2 linked regions of the Daphnia pulex genome follow. The protein of the gene in region 2 purifies or fractionates together with the protein of the main gene of each other region. This does not show direct contact. Links are inferred from orthologs where the notes say so. Each region holds a gene or a part of one and is shown on either strand. Other genes may lie near its edges.

The links.
Region 1: the proteins of immunoglobulin-binding protein 1b-like (region 2) and serine/threonine-protein phosphatase 2A catalytic subunit alpha isoform purify together in Drosophila melanogaster (affinity purification with western blotting; 3 studies listed by BioGRID, with this or other methods). This does not show direct contact. The link is inferred for Daphnia pulex from reciprocal best matches to the Drosophila melanogaster genes Tap42 and mts.

Annotation. Positions count from the first base shown.
Region 1 is NC_060026.1:13,489,040-13,494,334, forward strand, and holds serine/threonine-protein phosphatase 2A catalytic subunit alpha isoform, read right to left. Parts: upstream 3,218-5,295; 5' UTR 2,989-3,217; coding exon 2,887-2,988; intron 2,813-2,886; coding exon 2,603-2,812; intron 2,263-2,602; coding exon 1,999-2,262; intron 1,928-1,998; coding exon 1,755-1,927; intron 1,688-1,754; coding exon 1,580-1,687; intron 1,502-1,579; coding exon 1,429-1,501; 3' UTR 358-1,428; downstream 1-357. Other genes in the region: transcription termination factor 2-like, read right to left, coding at 3,863-4,216, 4,299-4,796, 4,866-5,016, 5,075-5,223, 5,284-5,295.
Region 2 is NC_060028.1:6,376,513-6,380,733, forward strand, and holds immunoglobulin-binding protein 1b-like, read left to right. Parts: upstream 1-2,084; 5' UTR 2,085-2,150; coding exon 2,151-2,267; intron 2,268-2,344; coding exon 2,345-3,063; intron 3,064-3,130; coding exon 3,131-3,347; 3' UTR 3,348-3,418; downstream 3,419-4,221. Other genes in the region: endoribonuclease Dicer homolog 1-like, read left to right, coding at 297-362, 916-1,006, 1,061-1,136, 1,194-1,335; uncharacterized protein LOC124209844, read right to left, coding at 3,506-3,615, 3,678-3,979, 4,045-4,090, 4,161-4,221.

The sequences.
Region 1 (5,295 bases), on a different chromosome or scaffold from region 2:
CTGGATAAAAAAGAAATCAGCAAGTTCAATCTTCTCACCCGGATGGGTGCTCGATCAAGACTAACGTTTAAACTAAACTCGAAGTTGGTTGATGAACACATCGAAAAGTTGCGACATTGCAGCAAACGACATTAGCTACGCAGTTTTTTCTATTCCAGAAGCTCCAACCGGTGTCAGGTTTCTTGCTTAACCTACGTGATTTAGAGTACATTTTGCTTAAACATTAAAGAGACTTTGCCCTGTGGCGACTTTGTACATCAATCGCTGCAAAAGACTTAAGAAAACTCGTAGTCATCGCAAGCAAAGTCAGCCATCCGTTCGGAATGAGAGTGCACGACATCCAACTGAAAGAATTGGTGAATGATTACGATTTGTATTGATCGAGGTGAACTTCCAGCATTTTTTTTTTGTTGGCTACAAATGACAGTGACGGGACACGACATTTAAAAACCACTCTTCTTCGGCTCGCTCGTTCGTTTTTTTGTTTTCTCTTGTTGTTGGATTTACTTCATTGTTGGTTGGTTATTTTTTTCCCTTAAGTGTGAACTGGATCGCGTGGTCTTATTTTCGAGGAGGGAGGAGGAAGGGAAGGTTCAAAGGTCACCATCTAGATAGTTATTAGTACAGGACACAAGGGGGGAAAGAGGGGAACAGCGACATCAGCATGTCCCCATCTGATGTTTTCGAGACAAGTCATCAAAAAAAAAAAGCGTTAGTACAATGGAAATCTGATGCTCGTGGTCTAATCTTTTTGTTGGTTGTTTGGGCGGCTCGTCTGTCGGTATACAGTTGCTCTTGGCTCTGACACGCGCTCTCTCTCTCCTTTTCTTCCACCTACTTCTCCCTCACTCTTTCAACTCTTTTTTCTTAAATAAATCGTAAAAGATGGTTCGAGGGTATCAACGGGCAGGTAGGAAAGGGGACAAAAGAAAAAGGGAAGTGATACTAGAATATACCAATTGCACGTTACTCTCTCACGCATTTACGACACGGGCGAGAAAATAGGGAGGGCGGGGTGTGAGGGAGGGGACATAAGGAGGTTTTTTTCCGACACAAAAAGAGAAGATTCCATGTTTCATTAATATTTGTAAAGAACAAATCACGAACTCCAATTTTAAAAAAAAAAAAAGAAGAGACTGTAAGGGAATAGTGTGTGTGTGTGTTTTTAAGGGGTAGAGGGGGAGGGTATGGATGTTGATCTTTTTGCTTTCCATTCAAGAAGAGGCGCATAAAGAGGACGTTTTAGTGGGGATGTGCAGGGTACTCTTAAACCTCGACTTAGTAAAATCTATACTCCGAGCGAGGAACAAGAGAAATGAACCGAGCATGAAAGAAAAAGAGAAGAAAAAATAATAATAATGATAGTAAATTGAAGGAAGAAAGGAGAAAAATTCATCGGTGTTCCGCGATATTTTTTTTTTTTTGCTCTTAAAGGAAGTAATCCGGCGTGCGCCTGGTTACGTGAGGTTCTCCTCTTCTTGGAGCTGGATCGAACTGCAAGCTGTAATTTCACAAACGAGAAAGAAAATCAATAAATGTCTTCTAGATGTAAATTTAAAATGGCTGTTTAAAAACTTACAAGGAGTATTTCAATGAATCATCCAGTTCCATAATGGCCGCTTGGTTGCCGCACCGGTAACAATAGTTGGGCGCAGAGAATATCGTTACCACATTGCGATCGTGACACCTAATGAAGCAATCAAACGTTCAGCCCCAGTACCAACAGATATGTCTTCTGTAAGACAAAACATTACCAGTTATATCCTTCCATGACAAGTTGATGAGCCCTAGAGACCAGAGTCAGGTTGTTGGAGTGATTGAAAGTTTCGGAAATGTCTTGGCCGAAGGTGTAGCCAGCTCCACGGGGGGAAATCCCCCAGCCACCTCGGTCATCTGGATCGGACCATAACAGGTCGCACATGGGGCCCTATTTTAGCAAACGAGACGTATAGGTTGACTAAACTGTGATGTCAAAGTGTTTTCAGACAGCGAACTAACCTCGTGAGGAACTTCTTGGAGACGATCGAGAGATCGAATGTGATCTAAAGTGTCGATAGAAGGGGAAAGTCCTCCGTGAAGACAGAAAATCTGACTGTCGACAAGTGCTGTCAGAGGAAGATAGTCAAAAAGATCGGTGAAGTACTTCCAAACGTTAGCATTGCCGTATTTCCTTAGGCACTCGTCGTAAAATCCGTAGACTTGTGTGATCTGACGAGACTCGTGATTTCCTCTCAAAATGGTAATTCGTTCACGGTAGCGAACCTAAATTGAATGTAATGGAAAAGCAACCTTAGTAACAGTCATACAAATGTACAGTGGAAAAAGTTAATCTAATTCTCAATTGAAAAATCAATAAATATTTCAAAAGCTATCAGCTGCGTAATTAGATAAAAGCCTCCACAAAGCTTTGGGCAAGCCCACCATAAGGAGCAACTTTCAATTGCATCATCCAAATAGTCAACAAACCTAGTCATATCATATTTGAATCTTATTGATTACATGACTTGCAAAAAAAAAAATTCCAAGTATTACCTTGAAATTCTTAATATCCTACTTCTAGATAATTAGTTGAGTCATGTCTGTGGAATAATAAGCAACTCACCTTGAGGGCAACAAGTAATGTGACTGTCTCAACGGAATAGTAACCTCTGTCAACATAGTCTCCCATGAATAAGTAGTTGGTATCTGGAGATTTTCCTCCAATTCGGAAGAGCTCCATCAGGTCATGAAACTGTCCGTGGACATCACCACACACGGTGACAGGGCATCTGACTGGCTGAACATTTGATTCTTTGGCCAAAATTTCTTTTGCCTGTCAAATATAGAACAAACCATAAATATTTAAAGCATTCCATTGATGCAAAAAAAAACGTTGAATGTACGAACCTTTTCACATAGGGTTTTGACTTGGTTCTCGGCCAACTGCTTGCATTCGTTAAGCTGCTCAATCCACTGGTCAAGTTCTTTAACCACTGCTTTCTCTTCCATGGTGAATACTTTACAAATTCGTGCAATACAAAAGTATCAACAGACAAATTGATGTGTCGGTGGGGCCACGAAAACTCAAACGTAACTTCTTGGGCTTGCTTACACTTAACAGAGCGGGTTTAACATGTATCAGTGGCCACCCCCTTTCTGCCACTTTTTCCTAGATAGGAAAATGGCCGCTTCTTTTCATAACGAAGACTTTCGCCACCAGGGGCAGGCTTAGAGCGTTGTGACGTCACATCGTCTCGGCAACGGCTGCGATTCAACATTGATTATATTCCCTTTAATCTCTTTCTTTCTCATAAAACACAAATCAACAGTTTCAAAGCATTATTTTTTTCTTGATACTACTTTTTACTAATTCGAAATAGATTGTCATTCGTTTTCATTGATTGTCATTCAATGTTAATCGATATCTTAATAATCGATTCAGATTGACGATACCAAAACAAAAAATTTTCGAATTTCTATTTTGACGTTTACCATTATTTTGACCAAATCCCCAAGAAATTGGTGTGGTTGAATGCTTCCAATATTTAATATTGCATTTTAATTATTATTTATGCTTAATTTTTAAAATTGTAAAAAATGTTGTTGTCTTAGTTTTATCAGTACAATTGACTTTTAACCTTTTTTCAAAATTATTGTTATTTGCCACAACATGAATCAGGACATCAATTATTTATTTATTGCTGAATTGAATTCAATACATTACAAAGTATGAAAAATACATTTCCTTTTTTAACTTGAGTGTTTTTTTGTTTTATTGAAAACTATCAATTTCGAACTGGATTTAATATAAGGGAAGAAACCGAAATAAGAACGCATCTAAATAACACGTGATAGATAAATGAAGGGAATAACATCACTTCACTTAAACTTCAGGTTGATTTAACATGGGTTTAGGGGCATATGCAGGCGGGCCAGGATTAAAGAGCATTTTCAAATCATCAATAGTTAAACCCTTAGTAGCCAACTTCGCAGCTCCAGTAAGTATGCCATTAGCCATTGCCAACTTTTCCTGCTGCAACTGAAGGATTCTTTCTTCTACAGTTCCCTGAGTTATCATTCGGTGTACGTGGACATCTTTAGTTTGGCCAACGCGATACACCCTGTCGCAGGCTTGAGCCTCAAGCTGAGGATTCCAATGCATATCTGCGATGAAAATATGGTTTCCTCCAATTAAATTGAGGCCAACTCCACCAGCACCCAAGGATAGAAGAATAACCTGAAAGCAAAGGAAATTGTTAATAAAACTAGATTTCGTTAATCAAATAAAAATAACGAAGAAATAAAAATATAAATCTTACCGGTGCACCGTCTGGATTGCTATTGAAATCTTCTACGATTTGTGTTCGGTGTTTGATAGCAACGCTACCTGCGATCAAATGGCAGCGAATGCGCATACGCTGAAAATGCTGGGCAAACAGATCCAGCATGGATGTCCATTGCGAGACCACCACAGCTTTTTGTTTTTGAGAGACAACTTTCCTGACCTCCTCGGTAATGTACCGCATTTTACTGCTCATATTATCGCGATCGAAAACTGGGTTAGTATGGGTAAAGAAGTTGGTTTCTTCTTTCTTCGGCTCGCCCGGTTTATTGTCCAACGTCATGGTGGACATTTGAGAAATCAAATCCAGATCGTTTTCCTCGATTTTGGCGTCTTCGCTCCCCATAGATTCCGAGTCAGTGGCATCCAACATTGTTTGAATCAAAGCGGGGTGAGAGCAAGCCTGTCTGAGGCGTAGGAGGAGCACCAACATCATCTGTTTCGTCACGTTCTTTTGGGGAAGTTCCGGAAGATTCTAGAATTTAAAAAAAGGATTGCGTAAGCTTCACGAAACTAACCACTTGTTATGACTCATTTAAATTACCCGGCGATCATAGGTGAAACCGTAACCTTCTTTAATTTTGTTTTCTTGATTTTTGATGTATTCCTCTAGTGCCTTGCGTGAAAAGGCGAGGAGTTTCTGATAGACTTCGTTCTCTTCTTGTGATAACTCTACGTTGTGAGTGTGTACCTCCCTAAAAAGAAAACGTGTAAAATGTTGCAGCAACTGCAATAGCAAACCAGCATTCATACCTGGCAGGCATAGCAACTAGCGGTTTTTCGCTTCCTTCTACCTTTTGATCTTTGGTTCGACGCAAGAGGAGAGTTTTGATCAGAAGCTGAAGACGTCCTTGGGCTTGTTCGTTTTTATTTTTTGAAGAATCGACCCATCGCTTCCATACCTGTAGTTGATTAGGTATTACTTTAGGTACAAAGAAGCAATAATTAATTCCGAGTCTTACCGCCAGCTGATC
Region 2 (4,221 bases):
GACCCAGAATTGCCTTTCGCCACCTTCACTGAGCCCCCTAAGGAATTGGCTGACGTCTAGGAAGCCCTTGCCGGGGCTATATTCCAAGACTCGGGGTTTTCTAATGACATAACGTGGGCGGTTATCGCCCCACTTCTTGCCCCCGGAGGAACAATCAGTTACTGGCCTAAGAACCCTGTCCAGACCATTCATCGAAAATTTGGAAAAGCTATGGAGTTCGTGTAAGAAGTAGACATATTACTAATTTTTTTTTATGCTAATGTTTTTTTTTTTTAAATAATAGAGAGACAAAGATCATGGGTTTGACCTGTGTCACGCTCAATGTTGATTCCATTCTCATCAGTCGAGGTTTGGGGAAAAACGTGAAAGTCGCAAAAAGTGCCGCAGCCAAGTACGCGTTGCGTATACTAGATTGCTAAGTGTCCACATTTCTTTTCCAACCATTTAATTTGTTTTGCTCCTTACTGTCTTAAAAATGAAATTTACTTCTAACCTGAAACGTGAAAGTCGCAAAGAGTGCTGCAGTCTAATACGCATTGCGTATACTAGATTGCCAATTGTCCACATTTCTTTTCCAAACATTTGATTTTTTTTTGCTCCTTACTGTCTTAAAAATAAAATTTACTTCTAACCTGAAACGTGAAAGTCGCAAAGAGTGCTGCAGTCTAATACGCATTGCGTATACTAGATTGCCAATTGTCCACATTTCTTTTCCAAACATTTGATTTTGTTTGCTCCTTACTGTCTTAAAAATGAAATTTACTGCTTACAAACGAATTGCGTGTGCTTGCTTTTCAAGGCCTTTTCAAATCGGGCCGAACCAATCACATGCGAGAAAGGGTGGGCTAAAATTGCGCTGGGGTAGTGGGAGCACGTCTCTAATTTGGGAAAATTCTAAAAACTCGGCGGTTATAGCCGGATATAGCCCTTGCCGGAGCTATATTCGAAGACTCGGGTTATTCTAACGACATTACGTGGGCGGTTATCGCCCCACTTCTTGCCCCCGGTAGATTTGAATTAATTTATAAATGTTCAATTAACTCAAAATTTTAAATTTCAGATGGAAAGATCAGTTACTGGCCTAAGAACCCTGTCCAGACGATTCATCGTAAATATGGAAAAGCTTTGCAATTTGCGTAATATAATTTGACATATTACTAAAAAAAATTTATAATGTTTTTTTTTTATAATAGAGAAACAAAGATCATGGGTTTGACCCGTGTTACGCTTAAAATTGATGCAATCCCTATCAGTAGAGGTTTGGCAAAAAACGTCAGTTGCCAAAAGTGCAGCAGCAAAATACGCGTTGAGTATACTAGATTGTTAATTGTCTAGCATTTCCTGTTTAAGCATTTGATTTTTTTAATTTTTATTCTCCTTATCGTTCTTAAATATGAAATTTAAGTCTTACAAATAAATTGCGTGTGCTTGCTTTGCAACTGGTTAAAATTGGCGATGTTCCAGTCTGCAGAACCATCGAAAAAAGTCCGAGTGACAAGACTACCCAAAACCTAGAAGTGCAAATTTATACTCGATACATGGTTGTCAAATAGGGTTATATTGGGTGATAAACTGAGCAGAACCAGAGTCATCTAGCCTATGGTCGCTGCAGTCAACGTTAAATTCCAATAGCCCTCGACGACCATTTGCAACATCTATCTAAAATAGGGGTTTAATTAGGAGTAAAAATAGGGGTTTTCATATTTGGGGGTCCCCATATTTCCCATATGGGGATTTGACGGGAAGCTACTTTTTACTAGCGACTTTTGTATGGAGGCATAGGGAGGTCTCAACGAATGCCACGCCATCTAGGCTGTTGCGGCATACGGAAATACATTGAGACCCCCCTTTAGTAAAATGAGCGGAGCCCCCTCTTATGGGAAATTTAACAGGGAGACTGGAAATATTGAATTTTTTTTAATGGTTTAGTATCAAAGTTATAATAAAGTTCATGAAGAAAATCTCATGATGCAATTTGTTTCTGGTTAAAACCGGTTCTTAATGACTCCACTACGTGGTATTCATGGATAGTTGGTGTAATCATTTTACGAGTTACGACTACTAGATGGCAACCCGTGTAAGCACTGTCTCAACTTAGTAGTCTATGGCTCTATGCTTCAGTATAAAAACATAGCATTAAGAAAACGGAAATGTCGGCCGATTTAGAAGATGGATCTGAAACGGTGTCAGGGTTGTTTGACAAAGGATTGAAGATATATCATGGATTGTGTGATACCATGGATCCTTCCAACAGTCCTGAATATCAGGTATGTAGTCAGTATTCTATTCAAAGAATTTCTTGGTTTATTGTGTTTTTCAAACTATTTTTTTGAATGATTTATAGGCTAAAGTTAGAAGTTGCATTCAAATACTGGAGGATGCAACCAGACTTGTCAGCTCCCTTGGACTCTTTAGTACAAATGAAAGTGTTGATGAAGTTGCAACCAATGATTTGAAATTTTTCCTCTTGCCAGTGCTTCTTGGGGATTTGAGTCTGAAACTCAATTCAGATGACCGATTAAATATTCTTAATGTTGCAGAAGTTTATTTTCAAGATTTTCTTCAGCGATGCAAGGATTATTCAGTTGGAGGATTGGATATCCCTGACAGAGATCAACTTGTGAAATGTGAGGAACCACCAAGACATCCTGGTCCTATGGGGTTTGAAGAAATGGCAAGACAAAGAGAGGAGAAAATCAGGAAATTCAGAGAAGCCAAGGACTTGGAATCGAAACTCATTGAACTCAAGAATGCTCTTGAAAACCCTAGTTCAGATGAATCAATTGCACGTGAATACTACATATTATTGATGAAGAAATTTGTTTTCTCAACTATTGAAGAACTTAAATCCATAACTCAAGAAAAACCTATAGTTGAACACCTCATCAAAATTAAAAGAGGCGGTTGTGATGCCAAAAAATTACCACCATATGTGGGCAAACCATTGAAACCTATCATTATTACAAGGGATGCCGTCCAAAAGGCAGTTTACGGATTAGGATATCCTAGTATTCCCGCTATGACGGTAGAAGAGCTTGTTGATCAAAGAATGAAGGATGGATGGTACGTGTATTTAAAGCAACTAAATTAATTTATCAGTTCTAAAATCAATTTAATAAATGGGATTTAGGTATGGAAAATTAGGTGAAACCTCTGGCAATTCTCGTTCTCTGCTTGATGAAGCAAAAAATACAGAAATGGCCGCTTTGAAAGCGGAACAAGAAGCAACAGATTTAGAGAGAAAGGCTGAACTAGACCAAGAAGAACAACTTATCCGAGCTCGCCAATATGATGATTGGAAGGATGACCACAGGAGAGGCTACGGGAATCGGCACAACATGGGCTAATGTTATGGATTAAACATTGAATGTAATTCCAAAAAGAAACCCGTCAAATATAAATTTGCTTGTATAACCAACATTTGTATTCTTTCGTGTAAGATATTGCATACCTCTCAAAATATAATTCTTTTTAGATTACAAGAACAAATAGGAAATCAAAATCTTCAACCAAAATGTGTGGCCGAAAAGCCTTCATTTACATCATTGTTATTTTCTTCTTTATTTATGGGAATGTCACCGACACGTTCAGGAGTCAAAGAATTTATCTCTGCGTCTAGATGAAAGAAAAAATTAGTAGAGGAAATAGCAAGTATGTAAACATGAATACCGACTTACTTTGCTGCTGGGGTTTGGTATATTGAGTAATCCGTGATTTAGGTGTATACGAGGAAACCATTGCCTCTTCTGTTTGTGGAAATCTGTTGGGTGAGTGACTGATTCGTCCGCTACGAGTGACATGCACTCTCGTAGATGGGCTTTCAGATATGTTGATGTGCGGGTGAATTCTTAGTTCCTCAGTTTGACCATATCTATCGGGGGAACGAATTGGTCGCCCACTACGAGTAGTACATTGTGCCGATGGGGAAAATTGTATCTTGGGAATTCCAAGGAATTGGCTGGGTGGCAGAACTTTTTCCCTAAAATAATAATAATTTTGCTGTTACAACTGAAATTGCAAAGGAAAAGAATTGCAATAGGCTACCTCTTAGCTAAAGATGTTGGAACAAGAGGATGATCCAATATAACATCTATTTTTAAAAAATCCAATATCCATTTTAATCTTTTAATTTCATAATAGTTAAAAACTAATAAGCTTACTTGTAGAATGACTTCTTGGTCGAGGACTATCCGTGTGACATGGGGACTGATGAGGCGAAGA